Linked DNA regions of Canis lupus familiaris. The protein of the gene in region 1 interacts with the protein of each later gene in a biochemical or structural test. Links are inferred from orthologs where the notes say so. Each region holds a gene or a part of one and is shown on either strand. Other genes may lie near its edges. The genes, in order: STAM, ARRB1 and USP8.

Evidence for each region.
Region 2: the proteins of STAM (region 1) and ARRB1 form a complex in vitro, tested with the Homo sapiens proteins (2 studies listed by BioGRID). The link is inferred for Canis lupus familiaris from reciprocal best matches to the Homo sapiens genes STAM and ARRB1.
Region 3: the proteins of STAM (region 1) and USP8 form a complex in vitro, tested with the Homo sapiens proteins (2 studies listed by BioGRID). The link is inferred for Canis lupus familiaris from reciprocal best matches to the Homo sapiens genes STAM and USP8.

Annotation. Positions count from the first base shown.
Region 1 is NC_049223.1:18,289,224-18,293,650, reverse strand, and holds the start of STAM (signal transducing adapter molecule 1), read left to right. Parts: upstream 1-1,583; 5' UTR 1,584-1,801; coding exon 1,802-1,841; intron 1,842-4,427. UniProt on the Homo sapiens protein: Involved in intracellular signal transduction mediated by cytokines and growth factors. Upon IL-2 and GM-CSL stimulation, it plays a role in signaling leading to DNA synthesis and MYC induction. May also play a role in T-cell development.
Region 2 is NC_049242.1:23,399,658-23,403,304, reverse strand, and holds part of ARRB1 (beta-arrestin-1), read right to left. Parts: intron 2,100-3,647; coding exon 1,964-2,099; intron 983-1,963; coding exon 898-982; intron 445-897; coding exon 372-444; intron 1-371. UniProt on the Homo sapiens protein: Functions in regulating agonist-mediated G-protein coupled receptor (GPCR) signaling by mediating both receptor desensitization and resensitization processes.
Region 3 is NC_049251.1:16,694,756-16,698,402, reverse strand, and holds part of USP8 (ubiquitin carboxyl-terminal hydrolase 8), read right to left. Parts: intron 3,466-3,647; coding exon 3,323-3,465; intron 1,027-3,322; coding exon 894-1,026; intron 741-893; coding exon 555-740; 3' UTR 1-554. UniProt on the Homo sapiens protein: Hydrolase that can remove conjugated ubiquitin from proteins and therefore plays an important regulatory role at the level of protein turnover by preventing degradation. Converts both 'Lys-48' an 'Lys-63'-linked ubiquitin chains.

The DNA.
Region 1 (4,427 bases):
GATCTCTTGCACTTATTTGGTGCTTACTATATGCCAGGCAGGCACTCAAGGGCTTGGTTTGTATTCATCCGTTTGATCCTTCACAACCCTATTATTATTCCTGTTCCTCACGGATAAGAAACTGAGGCGCCAAGAGGTGAAGTAATTCATACCACTTCTTAATATTGGACAATGTTAGTGGTTCACAATACTTTGGTATTATAAAAACAGCGTTTATATCGTTGTTCATATTCTTAAAAAATATCTTTCCCTGCGTGGAACCAGCTTCTCCCTCTGCCTGTGTCTCTCATCAATAAATAAAATCTTAAAAAAAAAAAAATCTTTATGATGAATTCCATGAAGAACTGCTGGGTCCAGAAGAGTTCTCATTTCTGAAAGCTCTTCTAACAGACGTTCAGGGGTGTCCTTTGGGAAGACCCCGTTAACTTAGACTTCAGGCAACAACGTGAGTCCACGATTCCCCACATCCCATTTTAATCCCTGTCGGACAAAAAACGTCATCTTCACTTTTGGGAACGAAGAGTGTTCATTGTGAACGGTGCTTGTAAGCATTCTTCGTACACCGATCCCGTCGATGACAAGTCCTAGACCCTTGTTTTCCACGCTACGCTTCGAGGTGCTCTGATTTAGGTATGATCCACGTAATTCCACTTTGAGCGCAAACGCTCCTCCTCTGTCCAAGCGGGACGCAAAGCGTCTGGGTGCTTTCCTTAAGAAATCCGACACGACGTAGGCACCGCTGGTTAAAACACTCCTTAAAACAACAACAACGACAACAAAACAACAACAAAACACTAAATAAACGTTTTAAGTCCTTGGGAAGCCCTCATCGAGTTCCAGCTCCATCCGCAGCTTTGTTTTGGGATTTTGCTCGGTCTTCGCGGGGAAGCGGGGTTTACCGTAGAGTAAGTCCCAGGGCGTGAGCCGTATTTTCCGAACATCGCCGCCGCTCAGGGACTGCGCGGTTAGTCAGGAGCCTCGGCCTCAGCCAGAGGCGCTCCCGACCGGGCCCCGCAAGCAGGCGTTCGCGGGCCGTCGGGACGCTGCCGCGTTACCTCAGCCTCTCCGGAGTCGCGCGCCCTGACACTCCCCTCCCTCCCCAAGGAGTCGGGCCAACGGGTTCGGCTCACATGACTTCATCCAAGCAAGTTTCTGGTCACCTCAGGCAGACACCGAACTCACGGCTTTTTAACTTCAATACCCCCCCGCCCCCGCGAAGGCGTGTCCCTCCTCCCTCCCTGGGGACCATGAAACGCTCACAGCCCACGGCGTGCGGGGCGAGCACGGGGTCTCGCTCAACGCTCACGCGATCCTCTTTCTTTCTCAGCCTCTGATTCACTCCGGGGCTCGGGGGGCGGCCCCGGCGCGCCTGAAGGACCCCGTCCTCCGGAGACTCCCGGCCGAAGCGAAGGCAGAAGACGCAGGCGTCGCTCCCACTCTCCGGGACGACCGATCGCAAGGGGAGTCAGGCAGACGGGGGCGCGTTGGCGGGGCCGGCTTCGGGGGGCCCGTTCCGGGCAGCTTCTGAGCAGGCAGCGCCGAGGTCGCCCCGGTTCCCGACAGGCTCCGCGCGCGGGAGGGGCTTGTCTGCGCCTCCGCTGTTGCCGCCGCAGCCGCCGCCGCCGCCGCCGCCGCCGCCGCCGCGGTTGCTGGGGGTCTGTGAGAGGTGGGGCTGTCGCCACCCCTGTGGAGTCCGTCCGCGTTGCCGTGTTTGCCCGAGGCAGTCTTCCCGCGCGCGTCGCCCCCGGACTCCCGTGGTGTCGAGGGGGAGTCCCCGCGGACACCCGGGCACGCAGCGGAGATGCCTCTCTTTGCCACCAATCCCTTCGATCAGGATGTTGGTAAGCGCTCCTGCCGCTCCCTGGCCACCCCGCGCGGGAGCGCCTGCCCGCCCTGCCCGCCCTGCCCGCCGGCCCTGGGCGCGCGTGCCCGACCCCCGCCGCGGCCCGCCGCTTCGCCTTCCCCGAGGCTCCGTCCTGAAGACTCTGGAGGAGGCTGGGGGCTTGGCTCGCCCTTTTGGGGAAGAAATGGGACTCGGAGAGCCTGCGAAGTGGGCCTTAGACTAGGGCTGTGGGCTTCGGGAGCCCCGCTGTGGAGAGGGCTGGTGTGGGGGGCCTCGGAGGAACAGCTGGTGTGGCATCTGGGGCTGGGACGGCGCCTCTGCAGGACGGGGAGTGGAGGGCGGAGCAGCAGGAGGTCACCCAGGGGAGGACTATAAGCCCTCCAATAAAGTGTTTCCCTGGACAAATGTCAAACGTTTGGAACTAGGGGGATGTTGTAGGTTAGCTTCCGTAGGGGATTTTAGGATTGATTTATTTATTTATTTATTTATTTTTATTTTTTGCAATTGTAACGGGTGGAGGGAGCTGCTGGCTAAGGGTAGAATCACAAAAATGTCGGGAGAGGTGAAAATGGAATAGTTGGCAACAGCTGAAACCGAACCGGGGACCTGAGCCACTGTGCTGCCTTCTTTAGGCAGTGTCTCAGTATTTCACGAAGTGTGCAAGAGGACCTTAAATCTGGAAGTGCTGCCTTGTTTTAATTTTTCAAATGTCCCTTCTGTTTTGTTTTTCTGTTTTCTGAATCACTGGTTTGGGGTCCTGACCATACCAATTCAACAGGTTAGGGATTCCCCCACCTCCCCACTCTCCTGGGTTTGAGGGTGATAATTACAGACTTTGAGTTTCCTGGAGTAGAATTTTGGGGTGATTTGGATGCACTTAGGAACTACTGTGGCACACAAGTATGGAATGAAAGCAAGCCAGGTACCGTGACTAATTACTATAGTAAAGAAATGTAAGGACACCCTTAGGGAGTTGCGTTTTTTTGTTTTTTTGTTTTTTTTTGTAAGATTTTATTTATTTATTCATGAGACATACACAGAGAGAGAGAGGCAGAGACACGGGCAGAGGGAGAAGCAGGCTCCCATTAGGGAGCCAGATGTGGGACTGGATTCCAGGATCCCAGGACCACGCCCTGAGCCAAAGGTAGACTCTCAACCACTGAGCCATCCAGGCGTTCTGGAGTTGCTTTTTATTATTTTGTTTAATTACAAATGGTAGGTGTTGATTTTTGCTTTTTAACTCTTCCTTAGAACATGTCACTGAGGCTTGGAGGTTTGGGTTAAGACTAGAAAATGGGTTCAGTCCCATCTTGGCCACTGCCTAGCTCATGGTGAGATCATGGGCAAATCCCTGAAGCTCTTTGAGTCCCAGAGTGCTGCTCATCTTTAAAACGTGGGAAAAAACACATTGTTTGTGATTCCGTGAAATGATACATGTAGAGGGCTCAACGAAATAACCTGTATAGTGCCTTTGTAGAGTAGTCATCTAAGTGATAGCTATTTTTGGTGGCAGTTTAAATGCATGGCCTGAATCAGCAGTGGATGGAACTTTAGAGATGGCCAATAATACTTAATAAATAATTGGAAAATTGCGTTTAATTCAGTAAGCACTTAGCACACAGTACAGATGGTCCCCGACTCACAATAGTTCAACTTAACGATTTTTTGACTTTAGTATGGTGCGAAAGGGATATGCATTCAGTAGAAACTGTACTTTGCATTTTGAATTTGGATCTTTTCCCGGGAAAGCCATATGCAGTCGGTATGATCCTCTCTCATGATGCTAGGCAGTAGCACCCACCTGCAGTTCCCAGTCACCCATGCAACCACAAGGGTAAACTACCAGTATACTTGGGCCATTCTGCATTAATACAGGCATTCTGTTTTTTCCCCACTTTCAGTACACTGTGCAATAAATTATATGAGATATTCAACATTTTTTTAAATAAAATAGGCTTTATGTTAGATTTTGCCCAAACAGGCTAAAGTAAGTTTTCTGAGCACACTCTTAAGTAGCCTTAGTAGGTTAGCCTAAGCTGTAATGTAGGTTAGGTGAATTTACTGCAATTTTGACTTAGGATATTTTCAACTTACGTGGGTTTGAGACCTGACCCTATCATAAGTCTAGAAAGATCTGTATTTATAGGAAATTGTCTTAGTGACATCACAGGTGAGTAAGACATGGCTGCTGCTTTCAAGCAATTTTATCACATTACAGTAATTTCTAGGGCAAATGCTTAAAATAAAACAATTTCTTAATACCTCTGTTTTCAGAACTTTTATCTGTTTTTCATAGCTGCATATAATCTAGTTTCTAACTACATTCACTTTTATATTCTACTGCCCTTTTTTTTTTTTTAAAGATTTTATTTATTTGAGAGATACAGAGATAGGGACAGAGATAGCAAGAGAGAGCACTAGCGGGGAGGAGAGCAGGCTCCCTGCTCCTAGCCGGATGCGGGACCCCGGGCTCAGGGTTAAGGATTGGATCCCAGGACCCTAGGATCAGATGCTTAACCGAGTCACCCAGGTGCACTTATCCTACTAACTTTTAAGCACACATTTAAATCAATTTCTTAATGAC
Region 2 (3,647 bases), on another chromosome or scaffold:
AAGAAATACTGTGTACCTAGTACCTTGCCCTCTTTGTCTTGGCTGTTAGGAAGCTCAGAGCAAAGTATGTCCTTCAACCTAGGTTTCTGGTACAGTGTAATTACAACCCCAGTTCCCTTTGATTCATTAGGTCTCATTTGGTCATTCTAGTTTTAATGGGTCTGTCCCTTGACTGTGGCATGTATTTTCTTGTAGCTAAACCAAGCAGGTGTTTTCTTAAAAGGCTATTTGGGATGATCTACTCTGAGCGACAAGGAAGTCTGAGATCCAGCCTTCTGTCAGGTGGAAAAGAACCATCTGCATCTGTAACTACAGCCAGGGCTTCTCATTTCCCCACCCACACATCCAAGGATGGGCTTGTGCTCACTTACTCAGCCTCTTCCATGGCCACAGGGCACTTGTACTGGGCTGTGTTAAAAAGGCAGATGTCCGCATACTGGCGCACTGAGAGGGAGAGGGAGACAAGGTGGTGTGAGCCAGGACTGCAGCTCCCGGGCATCCCAGGCTCCCTTGAGTTGGGGATGTTCAGCCCCAAGAATGGCCAGAGTGCACTGGGAGATTGTTCAAGAGACCACCCTCATCTTCCACACAAAGGGTAGCCCGAACACACCTGTTCCCTTCCATCACCAAAGGTCTCCCTCAGGGACAGCTTTGCCCAGAACCCAGGGAACTTAGAGGGTAGGTGACTTAAACAGTAAACTCATTACCTGGCCAATGAGTAGCCTGTGTTACTAGCCTCAAAAGCCTTTCCCTTTGGCCTAGAGTAGGCCCTGGGCTTTCCTGCGGGCCAATAGTTATCTACAAGGCTGTTAACAAGGGGAGAACCTTCAGCCACCCCCAACCCTTGGGAGAGTTCCCTCTTGCTGGCCCCATGGGGTGGCCTTCCACCCGGGGTACCCGAGATCTTGATCTTCTTCACTGTCTTGTTGGTGTTGTTGGTGACGTGGACATTAACGCTGATGGGTTCTCCATGGTAATAGATCTGGGAGGCAGAAGAAGAGAGAAGGGTTGGACCAGAGGATACTAAAGCTCCAGAAAGATGGAGGGAGAAGAGGCCCCATCATATATCCTAGGGTTCCCCAGACTTTGGCCACTCTGACGTTGGCCTCAAGTTCATCAGCCACTTCCCACTGATGCTAAGTCACTGGGCATGTTAGACCAGTTCTTTGTCAGGATTTTGAAAGATAATTGAATGAGGAGGTGATATTCCTGGGCTCTAGTCTGGACTTGGTGACCAGAAATAATGAGAACACTAATTATAATAATGATAAAGAGGATGAACACGGTGTGACCTTGGACAGGTTGGCTAAGCCTCGGCTTCCCCCCATCTGGAGGACTTGGACTAGGTGATGTATCAAGTCCCTGCTGGCTTGGGATGCCAGGAATTCTAGACACAGGAGGGCCTAGAAGAAGCAGGAGAGAGAGGTGGGGAAAGACGGGCCTGCTCACCAAGGGAACTGGCTCTGAATCCTTACTGAAGGACCTCAACTCAAATCTGTGGCCAACACTTGCCCTCAGCTATCCACAGAGAGAGAGAGAGAGAGAGAGAGAGGCAGTGCCCACACATTAAGAGGGGGACGGGGTGCAGGAAGACGGCCGAGACTCAGGTCCCTTCAGGAGGCACGCTGACTTCTTTTTTTTTTTTTAATTTTATTTATTTATGATAGTCACAGAGAGAGAGAGAGAGAGAGAGAGAGAGAGAGGCAGAGAGGAGGCACGCTGACTTCTAAAGTCGATTGTATCCCTCAGGCTCATGCCCCACTCTGCCATTCCTTTAGGCCCCCAGAGGCTTCCCCACAGCCCCCTAAGGGATGTCTCAGATTCCCTGAACCCTGTGGTCTTAGGACTGGGGGCAGAAGCTCTTACCTACCCCAGGAGCCCTGGTGACCATGAGAGAACTGGGATGAGATGTCCCAGCCCCAGGAGAACAGCCCCCACCCCCTGCCAAGTCCAAGCCTCCTACCTCCTTATCCAGGGAAGCTTCTAGATGCAAGGGCTTGTCCGACATGAGGAACTGCCTGGTGGTCTCAGCTGTGGGCTGGGGGCCAGGCCTCTCCGGGGCATACTGAACCTTCCTGATCACCAGGCGCACAGAATTCCTAATGGAGATGGGCAGAGCAAAAGATAGCCAGAGTCACCTGCCTCCATCCTCCTTCCTCATAACCCTCCCTTTCCTCCTCAGGAGACTGCCATGGCTCCCCCGGCGTTACAATCCAGACCAAACTGCAGAGGTGGACACAGAGGCCTTGTCACCACCTGGCCCCACTCCATCCTCCCCCATTGTGTACACAGCCACCCCCACTTCCTCACTATCATCCTCAGTGGTTCATCTCGTCCTGTCTCTGCAGCTTTGCTTACACCGGACCCCCGCCTGCAATACTCTCCTCCTGCTTCTACCCTCATTTATTTCCTTCTTCAGGACCCAGCTAAATACCTCCTCTTCCAGGAAACCTTCCTGGATCAGCTCACTTGATCTTGTCCCGGTCTTAACTCCCACACCAGCGGAGCTGAACCACCCCATGGCAGTCCCTCATGTGGATCTGTGCCTTGGCAGCCAGCAGGATGGCGAGAAAGGAACTATGTTTCACTTCCCACATCCCTTACTTTACTTAATAGTGTAAGCTCCTTAAGGAGCAAAATTTTTATCTCAATTGTTCACTGCTGTGTTTTCAACATCTATGACAGTGCCTGCCATATAACAAATGCCTTCCAAATATCTATTAAATCAAAATCTGCAGAGGGACCCCATGAAAAGGTGGGGGCTCAGAGAGGTGACGGGGTTCAGTGAGGGGGTGTGGATTCAATCAGGGGGATGTAGGCCAGTGACAAGGATGGGGACCCAGTGAATAGATGGAGGCCCAGAGATGAGATGGGACTCAGTGAAAGGGACAGGGGCTTAGGGAAGAAACGAGGATACAAGGATTGGGAGGGGATGGGATCTGGTGAGGCAGTGCCTGCGATGTGCTGGGTGTGCCAGCATCCCCATTTCTCACCTGCACCCCCTAGAACTGGACAGCCAGGCTGAAGGTCTGAGCTTGCCCCTTACTAACTATATGCCCTTGAGAAAATTCACCCCTGGATCTCAGTTTCCTCATCTGTAAAATGGCAACAGTAGCAACACCTACCTCCCAGGGTTGCTGAGAGGATTAAATTAGTTCCTACATGTTCACCACCCTGAATAGTGTCTGGTCCTTAATAGGCCCTTCATAAACGATAGCTGCTATATCATTATCAGTAGTATCTCTGATGTGGACTTAAAATGTCACACTGGCATAGGGTGAAGGCAGTGGCCCTCAGTGTCGTTCCTCTTCCTTGCTCCGGTCAGGCCCCCTTCAAAAACCCACGAACCCCTATCTTTCCCCTGGTCTCAGGTCTGAAGAAGAAAAGGAAGACAGAGAAGCCAGGGAGAAGGGTCCCATCTCCCCACACCTTGGAGTTGCCTGGGCTGGAGATGGAGATGCTCAATACGCTCTTCAGCCGCCAGGTGGCAAACTCAGCCCACTCCCTAAGAAGCCGCAGTGCCCTCCCTCAGCCACCCTCAGCCAGGCTCGGTAGGAATGCGGGCGGCTGCCTGGGGAGGCAGGGTGCATCAGAGTGGGGGGCTGAGGCCAGCCTCGCCTCCTCGCCAGAAGACAGGGCAGGGCCTG
Region 3 (3,647 bases), on another chromosome or scaffold:
TGCCCTGTCATTTCCCTAAGAAAGCACTGCAGTTACTCAGAATAGGCCAAAAGAAAAACAAACAATCCTCTGAGTTCTAGGCTTCACAAAAGGACCACATATTATACTATGTACATTGATTTGATGTGCAAGTGTGCAATAAATATATACACATACATTCCTATCTGCTTTACATCATTCTAGAGTATTCATAGATCAAGCTGGGATTTAGAAATGTGAAAAGGCCATAACAGTGAAAAAGGAAAAAAAGGATAGAATGGTTTTTAGACCTGGTAGAATAATAATGCTTAGCTAGTTAATTACTTTAACTTTGGAGCAAACTATAAAGGTTTTGAAATAAATGGTACCTGTAAGGAGTGCTTACTGCAATAGTTGTTAAATATTATTAGTCAGTTTTTTGATAATAGCACTGACCTAAAATATATGGTGATAATAACATAGCTCCCACTGTCCTAGAATTCCTCTAAAGGGCCAGCTATAGCTATCCAGTATAAGTATGTCGAGTTGTTTCGCTCAGCGTCTTAAAAGATAACTAGCTTATAACCTACTTCTCCTTATGTGGCTACATCAGCTGCTCGTGGTCCCAGTGAAGTATAAAAGAGGATATAAGCTGCCGAAGACTTCACAGAAGAAACAGAGATATCAGAAACTTCATGATCATCAAATTTAAACCACCGCTGTCTTGCCGCATTTTTACAATAGGCAGTGTAGTGGCCTCCATCCAGCCCACCGTAGTGATTCTGTGTCAAACGAGATGGACAATCAGTTCATATTGAAATTACTGACATATTTTAAATAATTCAAAGCTTTCTGTTATTTTCCTATGAAGGAACCACTTGCAACTCTTTCTTTCTAAACAAAATATGAAAATATTTAGTTCACAAGATACTTACTGAAACAGAAAACAAATTATATTTCTTCAAATTGTTCTTTGGGCCAATAACATACTGTGACAAGTCAAGATTTTCTAATGGGAAGTCCACAGAGGTCTGTAATTTCTGTTTCCACCTGCCATCATAGGAAAAACTGCGGAGCAAAACGTGACATTAATTAATACTGACAGACCAAAAATATCAGAATGACTCTAGTTCATTCCTCGATAGTCTAAACTTTTAGCCAGGACCATAAACCCCATTTCAAATACTCAGAATTTCAGTAGTGAAAGGACCTATAAAGACATCTGGCTTCATTTCCTCTTTACAAACAAGAAAACAGAGGCACACAGATATGAAATGACTTGCCCTAAGTCAAACAGCTAAGGGGGTAGAGACGAATCTTACCGTGGTCCCCGGACCCCTAGGCCAGCCAGAACTGTGAGAGGAGTTTTCTACAAAGCCAAAAACCTACAAAGACCCATGTTTATAATGTTAGTCCCCACACATGTCCAGAGGACAGACTACTGCTGGGGAAGCTGGAGCTGGAAACTGTAAGCACACAGACTACACAGGTATCCCCTCCTTTTCAAAAGTTGACATTACGCTGCTTTAATAGAAGACTTACGTTAGTCCTTGTTTTTGCTAACCAAAAGAAATCCAAGAGGATTTCTGCTTTTAAGAAAAAAGGTGAACAGTGAAAATAGCATTTGGCAGTATTTGTTCTGCAGTAAGCTGGTAGAGGCAGCAGGCACCTTGCCGAGCAGCAAGAGTGGCACCACCAAGTCTTTCCCGGAATACTCAGCATCAAGCTGTCGGCATCTGTGTTTTACCTTGACGTATTTTGTGCATCTCTTTGCAAGATGTGTCCTAAGGCATCAGAAAGGCCCAAGAGAAGGTTATTTTTGGGGTTTAGGAATGCTCAAGATTTTCCATATAAATTAATGGTAACTGCTTCTTTGCTTTTCACCGTTTTGCTTTATGAAAGATTTCACAGGAATACTCTACTCTCAGGTAGCAAGGTGAACTATAATGGCATTCCATGATCCTGACATATTCTGCTCCTTTAAACATCAAAATACTGGTATGTTGGTGAACTCTTATATCAGAATTTTCAAAAACTGAATTCTGAACCATTTATATTTTCAGATATTCTGCAAAGAGTAAAAGCAGCATTAAAAATTTTAACTGAACAAATGTGTAATCATTTATAGAATGTTTATACCTCCACAATCCTCAAGAAGACAAAAACTGATTCACAGCCTGCTGTTAAAAATTTTACATGAGAAATTTGAACACGTCAATGTTGAAAATATAACTGCCAAAGAATCTCCAGTAATACAATGAAGCAAATAATTAAAATAGAAGTGCTTTCTTGAAACTAAAATTACAGCTCAATAAAAAGATCAAACAATGACCCACTGTTATCACTCCATGGATAGATTATATACAAAGACCAGAAAAAAAAAAAAAATCAAAACACTTAGGACATGTTTTATAACTCTCTATTAGAGGACCAGATCTTTTTCACTGGCTGGAGAAATCTGGACAAAAATGTCTGCACCCAACAATGGCATCCTTAACATCTTTAAGACTACACTTAAATCCTGTATTTCAGGGATGCCTAGGGCACCCCTGAGAAAGAGTCAAGGCACAGCTGGGCAAGTGCCTGACTCTTCGTTTTAGCTCAGGTCGTGATCTCAGGGTCATGAGGTCGAGCCCCACTTTGGGCTCCATGCTCAGTGTGGAATCTAAGACTCTGTCTCAAACTTCTCAGACTTCTCCTCTGTACATGAGCATTCACTATCTAAATAAATCTTTAAAAAATTCTTTATTTCACTTTCAGCCTAGTATTAAATCCTTTTTTAGTTTACTGTTTGATAAATTTTATTGGCTAATCATTTGTATTATACTGTATAAATACATTTTCATTTGATATTTTATAATATAAAATTATATATAAATATTATAAATAATAAACATAAATATATATTAAATATATATTAAATAGATTTTTAAGATTTTATTTATTTATTCATGAGAGACAGAGAGAGAGACAGGCACAGACACAGGCAGAGGGAGAAGCAGGCTCCATGCAGGGAGCCTGAAGTGGGACTCGATCCCAGGTCTCCAGGATCACACCCTGGGCTGAAGGTGGTGCTAAACCGCTGAGCCACCCGGGCTGCCCCAAATTTTGTATTTGAAATGTAATAATTAAATTTCCTTTAAAGAAAAAAAAAAAAAAAGATGACATTACATGAAAGAGTCATGTAGTCATTTTGCTGTTACTGCAAACACTAAGGTAAGGAACTAGAGTCTCCTCATTTCTGCCTTATTTCCCTAATCAGATATTTTCCTTTGCAATGCATCCTTAGCAGGCAGTACAACAAAATGACTTAGAATGAAGGACTTAGAATTCCTTCATCTAAATGGCAGAAAAAATTGTTTACCGTTTCAGATGCACTAAAAGCACAGGTGGCAACTTCCAGATTTCTATCTTTTTTAAAGAATCCCGTCGAGTTCTGCAATGACTGCAGTAAAACCTGTTGTTATCTGTGAGCTTCTCTTCTTTGGAAAATAATCTAAGGCAATCCTGGAGGCAGAAACAAGTAGCAGTTACTTATTCCTGTCTTCACAGTATCACTGAATGTCTACTCAATAAGTTACTCTGCCAGGCATGAGGGATATAACAGAGAACTAGAAGAAAACAATCCCCTCACAAACTTTATGACCTAGTGGGGAACCCAGATGAGAGAGCCGACCATAACAAGAGTG